3 linked regions of the Arabidopsis thaliana genome follow. The protein of the gene in region 1 interacts with the protein of each later gene in a biochemical or structural test. Each region holds a gene or a part of one and is shown in the gene's direction. Other genes may lie near its edges.

Region 1 (5,410 bases):
TGGATTGTAATTGTAAGAATACGATATTTGATACACTTTGAATTGTTTGATAAGTTGGTTTTAGAGTGTTTGTTATTATTATTATCTTTATACAAAATGAATTTCTTTTGGTGTCTCAAAGAGATATTGCTTGCAGGAAAAGAGAAAAGAATAGACCCACCAAAAGCAATAGAATAGGAGAACTGAGCCGACACTGGCCCATAGAGGTTTGATTTTGGGACCACCGAACCATGTGCTCGAGTCCAATCTTTCAATAAATTCTACACATATAATTTTCTTAAATTCATATAACGTTTTTAGAATAGTAGTGTATTCATTCATATCTAACAATCAGACCCTATGTTGAAATTTTGGCTGGTACAAAATGTGTTGACAATCAATGCACATGGGAAGTATTTGCATCATCACTCTATATCCTCCTCCTCCTCCACACTTTAAAAAGAACAATGTCTTTAAAAACTTAATCAACTATTCGATTACAAGTCTCGCCGACATTTTTCTTTTTGCTAGAGCCATTCATGTTGATGAATTTTCACTTCGGGCAAAAATATGGATCATGAGTTTAAGTCTAGTTTTTTTTTTTTAAATTACTGTTAGTAGCAAATTATTTTATACATTAAGCAAATTGTGTATTCTGGTACATAAACTGCAGAAAACAATTAAATGACATTTCTCACTACATTTTAGACAGTTTTGGACATTCATTCGATTAGTAAATGATTTCGTTCTCGTACGTGATGAAACACGAGAACCGATCGACATTAATGTTCCTTTTTCAGAATATTCTCAACGCTCAAAAGCTAATCTATATACATTTTTCACTACTTTTTACATGATTCATAGAATACAAAAATAATTGAACGCATTTGAATAAGTAACTAAATATAGAGTATGATAATATCTAATTCAACCATTTTAATTATTGACTACATTGGCTTATCAAACTGAAACTTGATCATTTGGATAAGCAAACTTAACAAATTAATGTTTTGAACAAATGCTCAACTTTACAAGTTTTTTTTGTCTTCTATACGAAATCAATTCAAGTTTCATGACATTGTCTTGTGAAAAAAAAACAAGAAAAAATGTAGAGAATTGACCTTTCTATAAAGAAATAGAGTCGTTAGATTGGATTTAAGGTGGTAGATATAAAGAAAACCGTCGGATCAGAAAATAGAGACAAAAGGGCATGTGACCGGTTTTTGCTTGAAAACTACTTGCTAACTTCTTCTCTACTCATTTATCAGTGTTATAATTTTTTTGTTTTTTTTATACACATAGTACGTTCACTAAAATAACAATTTAAAATGAATATTGATATAATTTAGTCATAATAATTTGAAAAATATAAAATACAATATCCATATCTGTTTTAAAACTATAAACATGATGGCCATGATCTAATAATATGATTCCATGAAGCATAAAACTTTTATTAACGTAGTCAACCATTGGATATTGTCCAGCCCAAAATATCTAATTCAATGGGCCGAACCTACCCAATACAGCCCATTGTTTTGGATTAAAATCTTTAAAAAAATTGGAGGCTAAATTAAAAAAAGAAGGAAATATTCTAAGCCCTCCACGTATTACGTTGATGACGTGTACCATCGTATATAAACAAATGCACAAAACTTTATTATATTGTTGTAAAGTAGTACTTTTATTGGCGATCCTCATCCATTTCCTCTCTCGTCGTTGTCTGGGAATCGGTGACTTTTGAATCTTTGCGACTCTCTTGTAGTGATAAATTGATCGTTATCTACTTTGATACTCTCCGGTCGTTTTTCTCCGGTGCTGGAGATCCGATTCCTTATCTTTTCTGTCTTGGCTCGAGATCCGAGCCAAGCAGTAAAGAAGACGACTTTGTTTCACGATTTGGAATTTGATTCCTGCGATCACAGGTATGACAGGTTAGATTTTGTTTTGTATAGTTGTATACATACTTCTTTGTGATGTTTTGTTTACTTAATCGAATTTTTGGAGTGTTTTAAGGTCTCTCGTTTAGAAATCGTGGAAAATATCACTGTGTGTGTGTTCTTATGATTCACAGTGTTTATGGGTTTCATGTTCTTTGTTTTATCATTGAATGGGAAGAAATTTCGTTGGGATACAAATTTCTCATGTTCTTACTGATCGTTATTAGGAGTTTGGGGAAAAAGGAAGAGTTTTTTTGGTTGGTTCGAGTGATTATGAGGTTATTTCTGTATTTGATTTATGAGTTAATGGTCGTTTTAATGTTGTAGATGGCATCGGGTGAGGGAATTTTGACGGATGGACAGTGGAAAAAGCTTGAAATAGCAACTCATAATTCTGGAAGTTTGTCATCATCGCCTAAATCTCATACTCTCTTTGCTGATCTGAACATTAAGTCTCCCACTGGTGGCAAAGGACCAGTTGCTGGGATTCCTAATAGGCATGTGCGACGTACTCACTCAGGGAAGCATATTCGTGTTAAGAAGGGTATTAAACTTTCTTCAACCTTTTGTGCTTGTTATTTGGCTAATAGATCCTTTTAGGGAGTGATATGACTCTTTATTAGTTCCTTTCAAATTTGCTTTAGTGAAAAGACTTAAGTTTTCAGTAGAAGAGTTCAAGTGTGTAGGTGATATATGGTTTACTTATGTGGCAATGATATCTGCAGAGGGTGCTGGTGGCAAAGGAACTTGGGGAAAGCTTCTTGACACTGATGATGGTGACTCCTGTATTGATAAGAATGATCCCAATTACGATAGTGGAGAGGTACTTTCATATTTGCGCCTTTTGTTTTGTGTTGGATACTTTTCCTTGTTTCTTTAGTGTATCTAACATCCCTTGATTTTATCTTTTATTAGTAGTTTGCTTTTTTCATTCATATACTCAATTTAACAGGACGCATATGATGGACTTGTTGATTCACCGGTATCAGACCCGTTGAATGATTACAAAAAGTCAGTAGTTTCCATCATTGACGAATACTTTAGCACCGGGGATGTGAAAGTGGCGGCATCTGACCTCAGGGAACTTGGTTCAAGCGAATATCATCCTTACTTCACCAAGCGACTTGTTTCTATGGCCATGGACAGACACGATAAGGAGAAGGAAATGGCTTCAGTGCTACTCTCTGCATTGTATGCTGATGTTATTTTACCTGATCAAATTAGGGATGGATTTATAAGACTTCTCAGATCTGTTGATGACCTTGCGGTGGACATCCTTGATGCTGTTAATGTCCTTGCATTGTTTATTGCACGGGCCATCGTTGACGAAATTCTCCCTCCGGTTTTTCTGGTTAGATCTAAGAAGATTCTTCCAGAATCTTGCAAAGGGTTTCAGGTTATTGTAACTGCAGAAAAGAGCTATCTCTCAGCTCCTCACCATGCAGAACTAGTGGAGAAGAAATGGGGAGGTAGTACTCACACTACAGTAGAAGAAACGAAGAAAAAGATATCTGAAATCTTGAAGGAATACGTGGAAAACGGAGACACTTACGAAGCTTGTAGATGCATCAGGGAATTAGGTGTCTCGTTTTTCCATCATGAGGTTGTGAAGAGGGCTTTGGTTCTGGCGATGGATTCTCCAACCGCTGAGTCACTTGTACTAAAGCTGTTGAAGGAAACTGCTGAAGAAGGACTGATCAGTTCGAGTCAAATGGTGAAGGGATTCTTCCGAGTAGCAGAGAGTCTCGATGACCTTGCTCTAGATATCCCATCTGCCAAAAAGCTGTTTGATTCGATAGTTCCAAAGGCTATTTCTGGAGGCTGGCTCGATGATTCATTTAAGATAACCTCTGATCAAGATGGAGAAAAATCGAGTCAAGACGGAAAGCTAAGACAGTACAAGAAGGATACAGTGAACATAATTCAGGAATATTTCTTATCAGATGACATTCCTGAGCTAATCCGCAGTCTTCAAGATTTAGGGGCACCTGAATATAACCCGGTGTTTCTGAAGAGGCTCATAACTCTTGCTCTAGACAGGAAAAACAGAGAAAAGGAAATGGCTTCGGTTCTTCTTTCTGCTCTTCACATGGAGCTATTCTCAACTGAAGATTTCATAAACGGTTTCATTATGCTCCTGGAATCGGCAGAAGACACAGCTTTAGATATCATGGACGCATCAAACGAACTTGCTCTGTTTTTAGCTAGAGCTGTGATTGACGACGTCTTAGCTCCACTTAACCTTGAAGATATCTCAACCAAGCTGCCTCCAAAATCAACCGGAACCGAAACAGTCCGCTCAGCCAGGTCTCTTATCTCCGCCAGACACGCAGGAGAGAGACTCCTAAGAAGCTGGGGAGGTGGAACCGGCTGGATAGTGGAAGATGCAAAGGACAAAATCTCGAAACTCCTAGAAGAATACGAAACAGGAGGAGTAACATCAGAAGCTTGTCAATGTATCCGCGATCTAGGGATGCCTTTTTTCAACCACGAAGTAGTGAAGAAAGCTTTGGTGATGGCAATGGAGAAGCAGAATGATCGGTTACTGAATCTGCTTGAGGAGTGTTTTGGTGAAGGATTGATTACAACTAACCAAATGACGAAAGGGTTTGGTCGTGTTAACGACAGCCTCGATGACTTGTCGCTTGATATACCGAACGCGAAAGAGAAGTTTGAGCTGTATGCTAGTCATGCCATGGACAATGGTTGGATCCTTCCCGAGTTTGGGATTTCTGCAACTCAGTGATTAGTGGTTCTCTTATCAGTTTCTTGTGTTTGTGCTTACGATACTTTCCTCACTATCTACATATATGTATGGATTCAGTTAGTAGATAAACATGAGATGTTTATATGTTCATGTGTTTCTGTCTGGTTGTTGTGTTTTGTCTTTGTACTGATATCTTTTAGTGTGTTCTAATTTCTGATGGATTTTTGTTACATTGAAAATAAGTTATTAGCATGGTTAATTTGTGTTAACTTATTACTCTTGTGATATTTTATGAAAATTATTTATAAATATAGAAAATATGGTAATTAAATTATAAAAAGATAAATAAAAATATATTTGTTCGGTCGGTGAGATAATTATGACTCCGGTTCCGGGATAGAGCAAACAAAAGGATAGACCAATACTCGTTGCCAAACAGCTTTATCCTCGTTTTTATATTTGTTTTGATTCTTTCTTCTTCTGCTCAACTTTACTGTCCGGCGTACTCAGCACCATCAATGGACCGCCCGGAGACGATCGCCGTCAAATGCGAACCCATGACCGTTGACTCTCCTTCTCGACCTCTAAAGCTTGTAGTTTTAGCTGACCTTAATTTCAATCCTCCTGAGACTGATGATCTTGACTCATCCATTCCAATCCCTACTCCTCCTCCCATCACTAGGTACTTCTACATACGTAGTTGTGTGTGTTTCAGCTAATTAACCTATTTCTTTCTGTTGCTTTCGACTAACTTTCTTTTGCTGAGATTTTTTTTTCCTCTGTT
Region 2 (7,985 bases), about 25 Mb from region 1:
TCATTGAACATATACATCAACATAGGACTGAGAGGAGCCCATGTTCCTTTCATTGATGCAAAATTTTAGTTTCTTGTGTTTTAATTTGCTTCCTATCCAATGTACATGTATATATACTTTCACAAGAGAATATGGATAATGTTGAGTATGTTAAATATATAGTGACAAGTTACATAAAAAAAGCCTAAAGAAATCAAATTGGAAAAAATAGTAAGGTACAATGTATGGTTATCGAAAGCCCAAGCTGTACTTCCATTGATGTAGGAGATGATTAGGAACACGTGGATTATATTTGACCAAAAATAGTAGAAATTCTATTTATATTTGTTTTCTTCTTTTGGTTTTGGGTTTGATTTTGTGATTTGGATAGTTCGGTTAAGGATGGTTTGATCAATCAATATAACCATACTAAAATATGATTCAGTTAACTAACTATAGTAACTGTTTCTTCGTTAGTAAAATGATACATTTATTGGAATCTATTGACAAATCTTAATGACTTATTATAACTGGTGATAACAAAATCTAGCTATTATTTTGTATCCAACTACATATTTTGTATAAAATGGAAATTCGTATATGATATTTGTTTAGTTTAAAAGTAGAGTGTATTTGTTTTTTCAATGATGATTTAATGAAATCAAGCTCTTAGTTGAGATCAAAAGACAAATAAAACAAAATGTTTTTTTTTGTTTTGTTTCTTTTCTATTTGAGGGAAGGCCATGAATTCTTATTTTTGACAAATAGTTGTTCTATGCAATTAATATTGATGTCTAATACATATACAGCAGAATAAATAAAAACTTGCTATATAAAGACGTATTATTTATAGCATTCTGTGGAGTATAATGTCGAATCCTGTTCTCATTTCCGATTTTACATATTTATGGTACTAACGCCTTCATTTATTTTTCCATTTTCGTTAGTCAACAACTTCAGCTTTTGATAACGCCTAATTGTATCATCAACTTTAGTTAGTTTTCTCAAATAACGTCATTTTCAAATAAAGTTTTTGATTTCTCTTTTATTATATTTATGCAAAAGGAAAATTATAATTTCAGTATTTTGCAGAACGCTGAAATGTATAATAGAACCTATTCATGTATTTTTGTAAAATTTTAAAGATTGTTTTAATACTAAAATAAGTAAATCATTAAAAAAATTCCTAGACATTGGTCTCTAATATAAGATAAATAGATCTAAATTATGTTTGGATTTTAATTCTAATAAAAAGGTAGCCAAAAGTTATATATACAATATTTAAACAATTTTATTTGTTTAAGATTTGAATTTTATAGTATGCGAGAATCGCGTAAACTTTTCTCGAATGTAACAAAAAATTTCAAATCTTCTCGACACATGTAATCTTTTGCGAGTTAGAAGATTTGATTCCTTATTTTTTGTTCGTATTCTTAAAGTTAGTCACGTTTATATTATTTTTCGCTTTGTAACCGTCCCTTTAAATTTTTAATAAAAATTAAAAAAATTGCTAGAAAACAACATTTTTGTATTACTCAAATCAAAAGTACAAAAATAAATTTAGCTAGCGTTTCACAAAATCAAGTAAAATAATCTCCATTTGAAACTCCATAATCAAGCTGTTTGATGTATTATTATTACATGTAATGAGGAGAAAGAGGGGTCGAGAAATTTAAAGTAATAATAATTCTCTTCTTCGTCCATGGAATAAACTACGATTAGTTTAAAAAGATTAATAAAGATGGATTAAAGAAACTATATGTTAAACCTGGAAAATTTATTTAAAAAGACGTTTTTTTAGCTATAAGAAAAAAAAGAATAATACCTTTATTTTTACATGTTATTTACAAGTAATAATTTTTTTTTTCTCTCTCTCTCTTTGAAGGTGGCACGAGCACCCATAACCTTCAGACCTATAGATACAAATATGTATGTATACGTTTTTTATATATAAATATTTTATATAATTGATTTTTCGATCTTCTTTTATCTCTCTCTTTCGATGGAACTGAGCTCTTTCTCTCTTTCCTCTTCTTTTCTCTCTCTATCTCTATCTCTCGTAGCTTGATAAGAGTTTCTCTCTTTTGAAGATCCGTTTCTCTCTCTCTCACTGAGACTATTGTTGTTAGGTCAACTTGCGATCATGGCGATTTCGAAGGTGACTTCTTTCAAAAACCCTAATCCTCTGTTTTTTTTTTTATTTTGCTGGGGGGCTTTGTACGGACTTTCATGGGTTTTTGTAGCTTTTCCCTCGGCTTTTGCGCAAATGAGACTTTCTGGGTTTTTTTTCCAGCTTTTTATAATTTCATCAGGTGGATCGAATTCGTAGTTTCAGCTTAGATCTCTCTCCCTCTTCATTATCTGGACTTTCCAGACTTGGAGTTCTTCGGGATTGTTTTCGGTTTCTGGGTTTTGTTTTAATTGCGAGATTTAAGCTTTTTTCTTTTTTACTACTGTACTTGGTTTGTGGTTGACCTTTTTTTTCCTTGAAGATCTGAATGCGTAGATCATACGGGATCTTTGCATTTTTGTTGCTTTTCGTCAGCGTTACGATTCTTTTAGCTTCAGTTTAGTTGAAATTTGTATTTTTTTTGAGCTTATCTTCTTTTTGTTGCTGCTTCATACTAAGATCAATTATTGATTTGTAATACTACTGTATCTGAAGATTTTCACCATAAAAAAAAAATTCAGGTCTGAAGCTGATTTCGAATGGTTTGGAGATATCCGTAGTGGTTAAGCATATGGAAGTCTATGTTCTGCTCTTGGTTGCTCTGTTAGGGCTTCCTCCATTTGGACCAACTTAGCTGAATGTTGTATGATCTCTCTCCTTGAAGCAGCAAATAAGAAGAAGGTCTGGTCCTTAACTTAACATCTGGTTACTAGAGGAAACTTCAGCTATTATTAGGTAAAGAAAGACTGTACAGAGTTGTATAACAAGTAAGCGTTAGAGTGGCTTTGTTTGCCTCGGTGATAGAAGAACCGACTGATTCGTTGTTGTGTGTTAGCTTTGGAGGGAATCAGATTTCGCGAGGGAAGGTGTTTTAGATCAAATCTGTGAATTTTACTCAACTGAGGCTTTTAGTGAACCACGACTGTAGAGTTGACCTTGAATCCTACTCTGAGTAATTATATTATCAGATAGATTTAGGATGGAAGCTGAAATTGTGAATGTGAGACCTCAGCTAGGGTTTATCCAGAGAATGGTTCCTGCTCTACTTCCTGTCCTTTTGGTTTCTGTCGGATATATTGATCCCGGGAAATGGGTTGCAAATATCGAAGGAGGTGCTCGTTTCGGGTATGACTTGGTGGCAATTACTCTGCTTTTCAATTTTGCCGCCATCTTATGCCAATATGTTGCAGCTCGCATAAGCGTTGTGACTGGTAAACACTTGGCTCAGGTAAACATTTTTCTGATCTCTAAAGAACAAACTTTTTAAAATAACAAACTGGGCTCTGTGGTTGTCTTGTCACTTTCTCAAAGTGGAATTCTACTAACCACCTTCTCTATTTTTCTAACATTTTAATGTTCTTTACTGGGACAGATCTGCAATGAAGAATATGACAAGTGGACGTGCATGTTCTTGGGCATTCAGGCGGAGTTCTCAGCAATTCTGCTCGACCTTACCATGGTAGTTACTTACAATCTTTGCTGTTCTTAATTTTTTTATTATGTGATAAAATTTTGATTCCTCTGACTTGAGCTTCTCTATTATAAACAGGTTGTGGGAGTTGCGCATGCACTTAACCTTTTGTTTGGGGTGGAGTTATCCACTGGAGTGTTTTTGGCCGCCATGGATGCGTTTTTATTTCCTGTTTTCGCCTCTTTCCTTGTATGACTGGTCTTCCTGTCTTGTTTTTTTTCTCCACGTTCTTGAAATAGCATTATTGGAAATTAGCTGACATGCATACAATTTCTGACAGGAAAATGGTATGGCAAATACAGTATCCATTTACTCTGCAGGCCTGGTATTACTTCTCTATGTATCTGGCGTCTTGCTGAGTCAGTCTGAGATCCCACTCTCTATGAATGGAGTGTTAACTCGGTTAAATGGAGAGAGCGCATTCGCACTGATGGGTCTTCTTGGCGCAAGCATCGTCCCTCACAATTTTTATATCCATTCTTATTTTGCTGGGGTACCTTTTTTCTCTTTATATGTATCTCTCTTTTCTGTTAAGAAGCAATAATTATACTAAGCAGTGAACGCTCTATTACAGGAAAGTACATCTTCGTCTGATGTCGACAAGAGCAGCTTGTGTCAAGACCATTTGTTCGCCATCTTTGGTGTCTTCAGCGGACTGTCACTTGTAAATTATGTATTGATGAATGCAGCAGCTAATGTGTTTCACAGTACTGGCCTTGTGGTACTGACTTTTCACGATGCCTTGTCACTAATGGAGCAGGTTTGTTCTGACGGTTTTATGTTCGTATTAGTCTATAATTCATTTTTAGGGAAAATGTTCAGAAATCTCTCGTGATTATTAATTATCTTGTTCTTGATTGTTGATCACAGGTATTTATGAGTCCGCTCATTCCAGTGGTCTTTTTGATGCTCTTGTTCTTCTCTAGTCAAATTACCGCACTAGCTTGGGCTTTCGGTGGAGAGGTCGTCCTGCATGACTTCCTGAAGATAGAAATACCCGCTTGGCTTCATCGTGCTACAATCAGAATTCTTGCAGTTGCTCCTGCGCTTTATTGTGTATGGACATCTGGTGCAGACGGAATATACCAGTTACTTATATTCACCCAGGTCTTGGTGGCAATGATGCTTCCTTGCTCGGTAATACCGCTTTTCCGCATTGCTTCGTCGAGACAAATCATGGGTGTCCATAAAATCCCTCAGGTTGGCGAGTTCCTCGCACTTACAACGTTTTTGGGATTTCTGGGGTTGAATGTTGTTTTTGTTGTTGAGATGGTATTTGGGAGCAGTGACTGGGCTGGTGGTTTGAGATGGAATACCGTGATGGGCACCTCGATTCAGTACACCACTCTGCTTGTATCGTCATGTGCATCCTTATGCCTGATACTCTGGCTGGCAGCCACGCCGCTGAAATCTGCGAGTAACAGAGCGGAAGCTCAAATATGGAACATGGATGCTCAAAATGCTTTATCTTATCCATCTGTTCAAGAAGAGGAAATTGAAAGAACAGAAACAAGGAGGAACGAAGACGAATCAATAGTGCGGTTGGAAAGCAGGGTAAAGGATCAGTTGGATACTACGTCTGTTACTAGCTCGGTCTATGATTTGCCAGAGAACATTCTAATGACGGATCAAGAAATCCGTTCGAGCCCTCCAGAGGAAAGAGAGTTGGATGTAAAGTACTCTACCTCTCAAGTTAGTAGTCTTAAGGAAGACTCTGATGTAAAGGAACAGTCTGTATTGCAGTCAACAGTGGTTAATGAGGTCAGTGATAAGGATCTGATTGTTGAAACAAAGATGGCGAAAATTGAACCAATGAGTCCTGTGGAGAAGATTGTTAGCATGGAGAATAACAGCAAGTTTATTGAAAAGGATGTTGAAGGGGTTTCATGGGAAACAGAAGAAGCTACCAAAGCTGCTCCTACAAGCAACTTTACTGTCGGATCTGATGGTCCTCCTTCATTCCGCAGCTTAAGTGGGGAAGGGGGAAGTGGGACTGGAAGCCTTTCACGGTTGCAAGGTTTGGGACGTGCTGCCCGGAGACACTTATCTGCGATCCTTGATGAATTTTGGGGACATTTATATGATTTTCATGGGCAATTGGTTGCTGAAGCCAGGGCAAAGAAACTAGATCAGCTGTTTGGCACTGATCAAAAGTCAGCCTCTTCTATGAAAGCAGATTCGTTTGGAAAAGACATTAGCAGTGGATATTGCATGTCACCAACTGCGAAGGGAATGGATTCACAGATGACTTCAAGTTTATATGATTCACTGAAGCAGCAGAGGACACCGGGAAGTATCGATTCGTTGTATGGATTACAAAGAGGTTCGTCACCGTCACCGTTGGTCAACCGTATGCAGATGTTGGGTGCATATGGTAACACCACTAATAATAATAATGCTTACGAATTGAGTGAGAGAAGATACTCTAGCCTGCGTGCTCCATCATCTTCAGAGGGTTGGGAACACCAACAACCAGCTACAGTTCACGGATACCAGATGAAGTCATATGTAGACAATTTGGCAAAAGAAAGGCTTGAAGCCTTACAATCCCGTGGAGAGATCCCGACATCGAGATCTATGGCGCTTGGTACATTGAGCTATACACAGCAACTTGCTTTAGCCTTGAAACAGAAGTCCCAGAATGGTCTAACCCCTGGACCAGCTCCTGGGTTTGAGAATTTTGCTGGGTCTAGAAGCATATCGCGACAATCTGAAAGATCTTATTACGGTGTTCCATCTTCTGGCAATACTGATACTGTTGGCGCAGCAGTAGCCAATGAGAAAAAATATAGTAGCATGCCAGATATCTCAGGATTGTCTATGTCCGCAAGGAACATGCATTTACCAAACAACAAGAGTGGATACTGGGATCCGTCAAGTGGAGGAGGAGGGTATGGTGCGTCTTATGGTCGGTTAAGCAATGAATCATCGTTATATTCTAATTTGGGGTCACGGGTGGGAGTACCCTCGACTTATGATGACATTTCTCAATCAAGAGGAGGCTACAGAGATGCCTACAGTTTGCCACAGAGTGCAACAACAGGGACCGGATCGCTTTGGTCCAGACAGCCCTTTGAGCAGTTTGGTGTAGCGGAGAGGAATGGTGCTGTTGGTGAGGAGCTCAGGAATAGATCGAATCCGATCAATATAGACAACAACGCTTCTTCTAATGTTGATGCAGAGGCTAAGCTTCTTCAGTCGTTCAGGCACTGTATTCTAAAGCTTATTAAACTTGAAGGATCCGAGTGGTTGTTTGGACAAAGCGATGGAGTTGATGAAGAACTGATTGACCGGGTAGCTGCACGAGAGAAGTTTATCTATGAAGCTGAAGCTCGAGAAATAAACCAGGTGGGTCACATGGGGGAGCCACTAATTTCATCGGTTCCTAACTGTGGAGATGGTTGCGTTTGGAGAGCTGATTTGATTGTGAGCTTTGGAGTTTGGTGCATTCACCGTGTCCTTGACTTGTCTCTCATGGAGAGTCGGCCTGAGCTTTGGGGAAAGTACACTTACGTTCTCAACCGCCTACAGGTAACAAAAACCGCAGTAGTTCATTGAAAATCACAGTTTTGCAGTTTGAAAATATTGACATGTATGGATTTAAACAGGGAGTGATTGATCCGGCGTTCTCAAAGCTGCGGACACCAATGACACCGTGCTTTTGCCTTCAGATTCCAGCGAGCCACCAGAGAGCGAGTCCGACTTCAGCTAACGGAATGTTACCTCCGGCTGCAAAACCGGCTAAAGGCAAATGCACAACCGCAGTCACACTTCTTGATCTAATCAAAGACGTTGAAATGGCAATCTCTTGTAGAAAAGGCCGAACCGGTACAGCTGCAGGTGATGTGGCTTTCCCAAAGGGGAAAGAGAATTTGGCTTCGGTTTTGAAGCGGTATAAACGTCGGTTATCGAATAAACCAGTAGGTATGAATCAGGATGGACCCGGTTCAAGAAAAAACGTGACTGCGTACGGATCATTGGGTTGAAGAAGAAGAACATTGTGAGAAATCTCATGATCAAAGTGACGTCGAGAGGGAAGCCGAAGAATCAAAACTCTCGCTTTTGATTGCTCCTCTGCTTCGTTAATTGTGTATTAAGAAAAGAAGAAAAAAAATGGATTTTTGTTGCTTCAGAATTTTTCGCTCTTTTTTTCTTAATTTGGTTGTAATGTTATGTTTATATACATATATCATCATCATAGGACCATAGCTACAAACCGAATCCGGTTTGTGTAATTCTATGCGGAATCATAAAGAAATCGTCGGTTTGAAATGTTAAATCTCCTAAACCGGATCTCTGCACGTAGCTGACACATCGACGCTAGATTACTGACACGTGTCCTTATCAATATTTCTTCTCGAAACG
Region 3 (5,868 bases), on another chromosome or scaffold:
GTCCTTTATTTATTAAACAGAATCAATAAAATATACTCTATAGTCTTCAACAGTATGATATATTACAAATTTATAACACACAAAATCACACTATAGGTGATAAGATTTGCACTATTAATTGCAATGGAAAAATGTTCTAAGAATAATTATTTCTTACTAGAAACTATTGATCTTAAAGAAATAGTCTCTTGTGCAATTGAATGGTAGCTAGGGTATAACCAATTGAAACATTTTAAAATATGACTTGTGTATATTTTTTTCTTTAATATGTGTATATGATTATTTATCAATGAACATTTCAAAATAGCATTTTCTCGTTGGCTGAAATAATCAAGCTAATATTTTGCTTAAGTCATACAAATCTACTCATAAACTTGGTGGAAGAAGGCAGTGTAATGATGAAAAGGATGGAGTGTGTGACATGGAACATGATATAAAGGCTCATCTATGGCATATTATATGAAACTAAACTAATTAAAATCACATAAAAATGGAAAAAGAAGTGAGCAACATTATGGTTACACCTTAAAGTTTGTTATTGTAATTTGTAAAGTCACTTCTCTGTTCATTCCCCCACGCCTCTGCCTCGACAGTGAACATTGGATCAACCAAATTTTACAAAAGACCATTTCATATGCGATGCATATTATGACTAAATTGGGTCCCAATTATTTTGACCACACACCCCACCATATGAAATATTTGTATATCGGTTTGGAATAATTTCTCCCAAAATTCCTTTCAATATAATTGCCATTCTTTTGTAAAAGGTTTTGTTTTTTTTTTAAATAAAGTATTAATACAATACACAACAAAAACAAAACAAATTATCCCAAAATTCCAAACTTGATGTGATTATAGACTAGAATTTCTATTATGTTCGTTTTTATTAGTGTTGTCACTATATCACTAACTATATTCATATTCAGTTGCTTGTCAATTATTTTTTTTTGCCAGTCTTAGATTTATTATTTATTGCACTGTTACATAGACGATTCTACAACGGACAATTCCTTCCGACTCTTATTAGATCTAGTTGCTTGTCATCTAATATTTAAATTATTTTAAGAAATGTTATACAACTAATATTTAAATCATTTTAAGAAATGTTATACAACAATAGTATATAGCTAAATTTTTAAATGGAAGTTTATATAATACTACACTTTTTCTTCATTGAAATTTGTGAAACATCTCATAGATACAATTCCCATTTAGAAAATTAGCAGTGATCATAATTCTTTCTAAGGTTCAAAATCCCCACATGGAGCTTTAATGAATTAAAATTATGAAACCATTAGAAACAAATAGATATAGGACTAAATGAAACTGAAAACATATTTTTCTAAATATTAGAGTTTTATTCTATAAACTGAACTTAATTTTTTTGATTATCAAACAACATGTATTCTATTAGATTAATAATGTCACTTACACAAATCACTACAAGTCATGATCACAATTCCACAAAATCATAAGATTGATCATAACCATTTAATAAATCAATCATCTATTAGAAAAACATCATATGTAAAAAAAAACGATTCGACAAAGATGTTTTAAAAATAATAAGCATCAACAATTAATAAAACTTAATAAATTACCTAAAAGCAGCTTTTTCTTTTCTTCAAAAAAAGCCCTTTTTCTTCCTCTGCTTTAGCATCGTCTCTTTATCATCTAAATGTTTCAACTTACTTACTTCTCCTTCTCCATTCAAACTCAAAAAACCTCCCTCCAATGACTACTTCACCAATCCGGGTTCGGATCCGGACTCGGATCCAAATCTCCTTCATCTTCCTCCTTACCCATCTCTCACAATCTTCCTCCTCCGACCAATCTTCACTCAAAACCGACTCATTATCACTCCTCTCTTTCAAAACAATGATCCAAGATGATCCAAACAACATTCTCTCAAACTGGTCACCTCGTAAATCCCCTTGTCAATTCTCCGGCGTCACTTGTCTCGGAGGAAGAGTCACCGAGATTAATCTCTCCGGTAGTGGCCTCTCCGGAATCGTCTCCTTCAATGCTTTCACCTCTCTTGATTCTCTCTCTGTTCTCAAACTCTCAGAGAACTTCTTCGTCTTAAACTCAACCTCTCTTCTTCTTCTTCCTTTAACCCTAACTCATCTCGAACTCTCTTCCTCCGGTTTAATCGGAACCCTCCCTGAAAATTTCTTCTCCAAATACTCAAATCTTATTTCCATCACCCTCTCTTACAATAACTTCACCGGAAAGTTACCTAATGATCTTTTCTTAAGCAGCAAGAAACTCCAAACCCTTGATCTTTCTTACAACAACATTACCGGTCCAATCTCCGGTTTAACCATTCCTCTTTCTTCTTGCGTCTCCATGACCTATCTCGATTTCTCCGGTAACAGTATCTCCGGCTATATCTCTGACTCACTCATCAACTGCACCAACCTCAAAAGCTTGAATCTTTCTTACAACAACTTCGATGGGCAGATTCCAAAATCTTTCGGTGAGCTTAAACTCTTACAAAGTTTGGATCTTTCTCATAACCGACTCACCGGTTGGATCCCGCCGGAGATCGGAGATACTTGCCGGTCATTACAAAACCTCCGGCTTTCTTACAACAACTTCACTGGTGTGATCCCTGAGTCGTTGTCCTCATGTTCTTGGCTACAAAGTCTTGACCTTTCAAACAACAACATCTCCGGTCCGTTTCCGAACACTATCCTCCGGAGTTTTGGATCTCTTCAAATCTTACTTCTCAGCAACAACTTAATCTCCGGTGACTTTCCGACTTCAATCTCTGCTTGTAAGAGCTTGAGAATCGCTGACTTCAGCTCGAATCGATTCTCCGGTGTGATTCCACCGGATTTATGTCCCGGAGCAGCTTCATTAGAAGAGCTAAGACTCCCGGATAATCTCGTCACCGGAGAGATTCCACCGGCGATATCTCAATGCTCTGAGCTACGAACGATTGATCTCAGTCTCAATTATCTCAACGGTACAATCCCACCGGAGATCGGAAACCTCCAGAAACTCGAGCAATTCATAGCTTGGTACAACAACATCGCCGGAGAAATCCCACCGGAGATCGGAAAACTACAAAACCTAAAAGATTTGATCCTCAACAACAATCAACTCACCGGAGAAATCCCACCGGAATTTTTCAATTGCAGTAACATCGAATGGGTCTCATTCACAAGCAACAGATTAACCGGAGAAGTGCCTAAAGATTTCGGAATCCTTTCCCGGTTAGCCGTTCTTCAGCTCGGTAACAACAATTTCACCGGAGAAATCCCACCGGAGCTAGGAAAATGCACAACTCTGGTTTGGCTTGATCTTAACACAAACCACTTAACCGGTGAAATCCCTCCCCGGTTAGGTCGTCAACCCGGTTCAAAAGCACTTTCCGGTTTACTCTCAGGAAACACAATGGCTTTTGTTAGAAACGTTGGAAACTCATGTAAAGGTGTTGGAGGTTTGGTTGAGTTCTCAGGGATCAGACCAGAGAGGCTTCTTCAGATTCCATCTCTTAAAAGCTGTGACTTCACAAGAATGTATTCAGGTCCAATTTTGAGTCTATTCACAAGATATCAAACCATTGAGTATCTTGATCTTTCTTATAATCAGCTTAGAGGTAAAATCCCTGATGAGATTGGAGAAATGATTGCTCTTCAAGTTCTTGAGCTTTCTCATAATCAACTCTCCGGCGAGATTCCGTTTACGATTGGTCAGCTCAAGAATCTCGGTGTTTTCGATGCTTCGGATAATCGGTTGCAGGGTCAAATCCCTGAATCTTTCTCGAATTTGTCTTTCTTGGTGCAGATTGATTTGTCGAATAACGAGTTAACTGGTCCGATTCCTCAGAGAGGTCAGTTAAGCACGCTTCCGGCGACTCAGTACGCGAATAATCCGGGGCTTTGCGGTGTTCCTTTACCGGAATGTAAGAATGGAAACAATCAGCTTCCTGCTGGAACAGAGGAAGGGAAACGTGCTAAGCACGGAACTAGGGCAGCTTCTTGGGCGAATAGCATTGTTTTGGGAGTGTTGATTTCCGCTGCTTCGGTTTGTATTTTAATCGTTTGGGCGATTGCGGTTCGTGCGAGGAGGAGAGATGCGGATGATGCGAAGATGCTTCACAGTTTGCAGGCGGTTAATTCCGCCACTACATGGAAGATAGAGAAGGAGAAAGAGCCGTTGAGTATTAATGTAGCGACGTTTCAGCGACAGTTGAGAAAGCTTAAGTTTTCGCAGCTTATCGAGGCGACAAACGGATTCTCAGCCGCGAGTATGATCGGACACGGCGGATTCGGTGAGGTTTTTAAGGCGACGCTTAAAGACGGGTCTTCCGTGGCGATCAAGAAGCTCATTAGACTTAGTTGTCAAGGAGATCGAGAGTTCATGGCAGAAATGGAAACCTTAGGGAAGATCAAACACCGAAACCTCGTACCGCTCTTGGGATACTGTAAAATCGGGGAAGAGAGATTGCTTGTTTACGAGTTTATGCAATACGGAAGCCTCGAGGAGGTGCTTCACGGACCAAGAACAGGCGAAAAACGGAGGATTTTAGGTTGGGAAGAGAGGAAAAAGATTGCAAAAGGAGCAGCAAAAGGACTTTGTTTCTTGCATCACAATTGTATCCCTCACATAATCCACCGCGACATGAAATCGAGCAACGTGCTTCTCGATCAAGACATGGAAGCAAGAGTTTCAGATTTCGGAATGGCGAGACTGATCAGCGCATTAGACACACATTTGAGTGTAAGTACCTTGGCAGGCACGCCAGGTTACGTACCACCAGAGTATTACCAAAGTTTCAGATGTACCGCAAAAGGCGACGTGTACTCAATCGGAGTAGTGATGCTCGAGATCTTAAGCGGGAAAAGACCAACGGATAAAGAAGAGTTTGGTGATACGAATTTAGTAGGTTGGTCGAAGATGAAGGCAAGAGAAGGGAAACACATGGAAGTGATTGATGAAGACCTTCTAAAAGAAGGTTCTTCGGAGTCTCTGAATGAGAAAGAAGGTTTTGAAGGAGGAGTGATTGTGAAAGAAATGTTGAGGTATTTGGAGATAGCGTTACGGTGCGTTGACGATTTCCCATCAAAGAGACCTAATATGTTACAAGTTGTTGCTTCGTTGAGAGAACTTCGTGGAAGTGAAAATAATAGTCACAGTCACAGTAACAGCTTGTAACAACATGAAGATCTCTGTTTTTTTTTGTTTTTCTGGCTTTTTCAATGCATTTTTTTTTCCTGTGAGAATGTGTATGTGTGGTTGATCAATGATTAAAATTTCATGATGTATCAAGACTTAATTAATGTAATTTAAATTCTGATTCCTTTAATAAATAACTATGCAGATTATAACAAATCAGAGTCTTAGTTGGTGAATTGTTCTTTATTACCGAGTGTCGTTAGCTCAATTGGTAAAGACCGTAAACGAAGCTTAGAGAACGCCGATTTGAGTAACGCTTGAAACGAAACTAATATTACACGATGTGGTTTCGTGCATGAAAGGATTACCGACATTGGCCCAGAACTTCCTGGTATTAGAAAAAAAAAAAAAAAAAAATTGTTCTTTATTAAACGCTCGAATACACACGATTAGGCTTTGGATAGAGAACATACAAATGGGCTCAACAACTGAAGTTTCAAAATTATATTTGGGCCATAAAGAACTATTTAGAATATAGAAACATTAGGCCCATAATGACTCTTTCTCCTTCAGGCCTATGAACATCTAACACTATAAGACTATACATTCGTGAGTAGAATATTTTTTTTTGTGAGAATAGTATTTCAAACCACAAAAGAGAATATATTTCAATGTGTTACTTCATTAGTATGTGTGAATTTATACTTGTTGATGTGAATCAAGTAGGTGGTTGTCTAG

The links. The genes of interacting proteins can lie anywhere in the genome.
Region 2: the proteins of AT5G63190 (region 1) and EIN2 form a complex in vitro, tested with the Arabidopsis thaliana proteins (one study listed by BioGRID).
Region 3: the proteins of AT5G63190 (region 1) and BRL2 form a complex in vitro, tested with the Arabidopsis thaliana proteins (one study listed by BioGRID).

Annotation. Positions count from the first base shown.
Region 1 is NC_003076.8:25,343,899-25,349,308, forward strand, and holds AT5G63190 (MA3 domain-containing protein), read left to right. Parts: upstream 1-1,643; 5' UTR 1,644-1,904; exon of another isoform or gene 1,905-1,913; intron 1,914-2,246; coding exon 2,247-2,463; intron 2,464-2,644; coding exon 2,645-2,742; intron 2,743-2,830; exon of another isoform or gene 2,831-2,871; coding exon 2,872-4,665; 3' UTR 4,666-4,902; downstream 4,903-5,410. Other genes in the region: AT5G63200 (tetratricopeptide repeat (TPR)-containing protein), read left to right, coding at 5,145-5,308. UniProt on the Arabidopsis thaliana protein: Involved in target of rapamycin (TOR)-regulated translation control, especially under energy-deficient conditions.
Region 2 is NC_003076.8:785,461-793,445, forward strand, and holds EIN2 (NRAMP metal ion transporter family protein), read left to right. Parts: upstream 1-1,967; 5' UTR 1,968-2,137; intron 2,138-2,670; 5' UTR 2,671-3,128; coding exon 3,129-3,377; intron 3,378-3,521; coding exon 3,522-3,608; intron 3,609-3,698; coding exon 3,699-3,809; intron 3,810-3,900; coding exon 3,901-4,113; intron 4,114-4,194; coding exon 4,195-4,380; intron 4,381-4,490; coding exon 4,491-7,151; intron 7,152-7,228; coding exon 7,229-7,606; 3' UTR 7,607-7,944; downstream 7,945-7,985. UniProt on the Arabidopsis thaliana protein: Central factor in signaling pathways regulated by ethylene (ET) and involved in various processes including development, plant defense, senescence, nucleotide sugar flux, and tropisms.
Region 3 is NC_003071.7:440,106-445,973, reverse strand, and holds BRL2 (BRI1-like 2), read left to right. Parts: upstream 1-1,649; 5' UTR 1,650-1,737; coding exon 1,738-5,169; 3' UTR 5,170-5,350; downstream 5,351-5,868. UniProt on the Arabidopsis thaliana protein: Receptor with a serine/threonine-protein kinase activity, which may transduce extracellular spatial and temporal signals into downstream cell differentiation responses in provascular and procambial cells.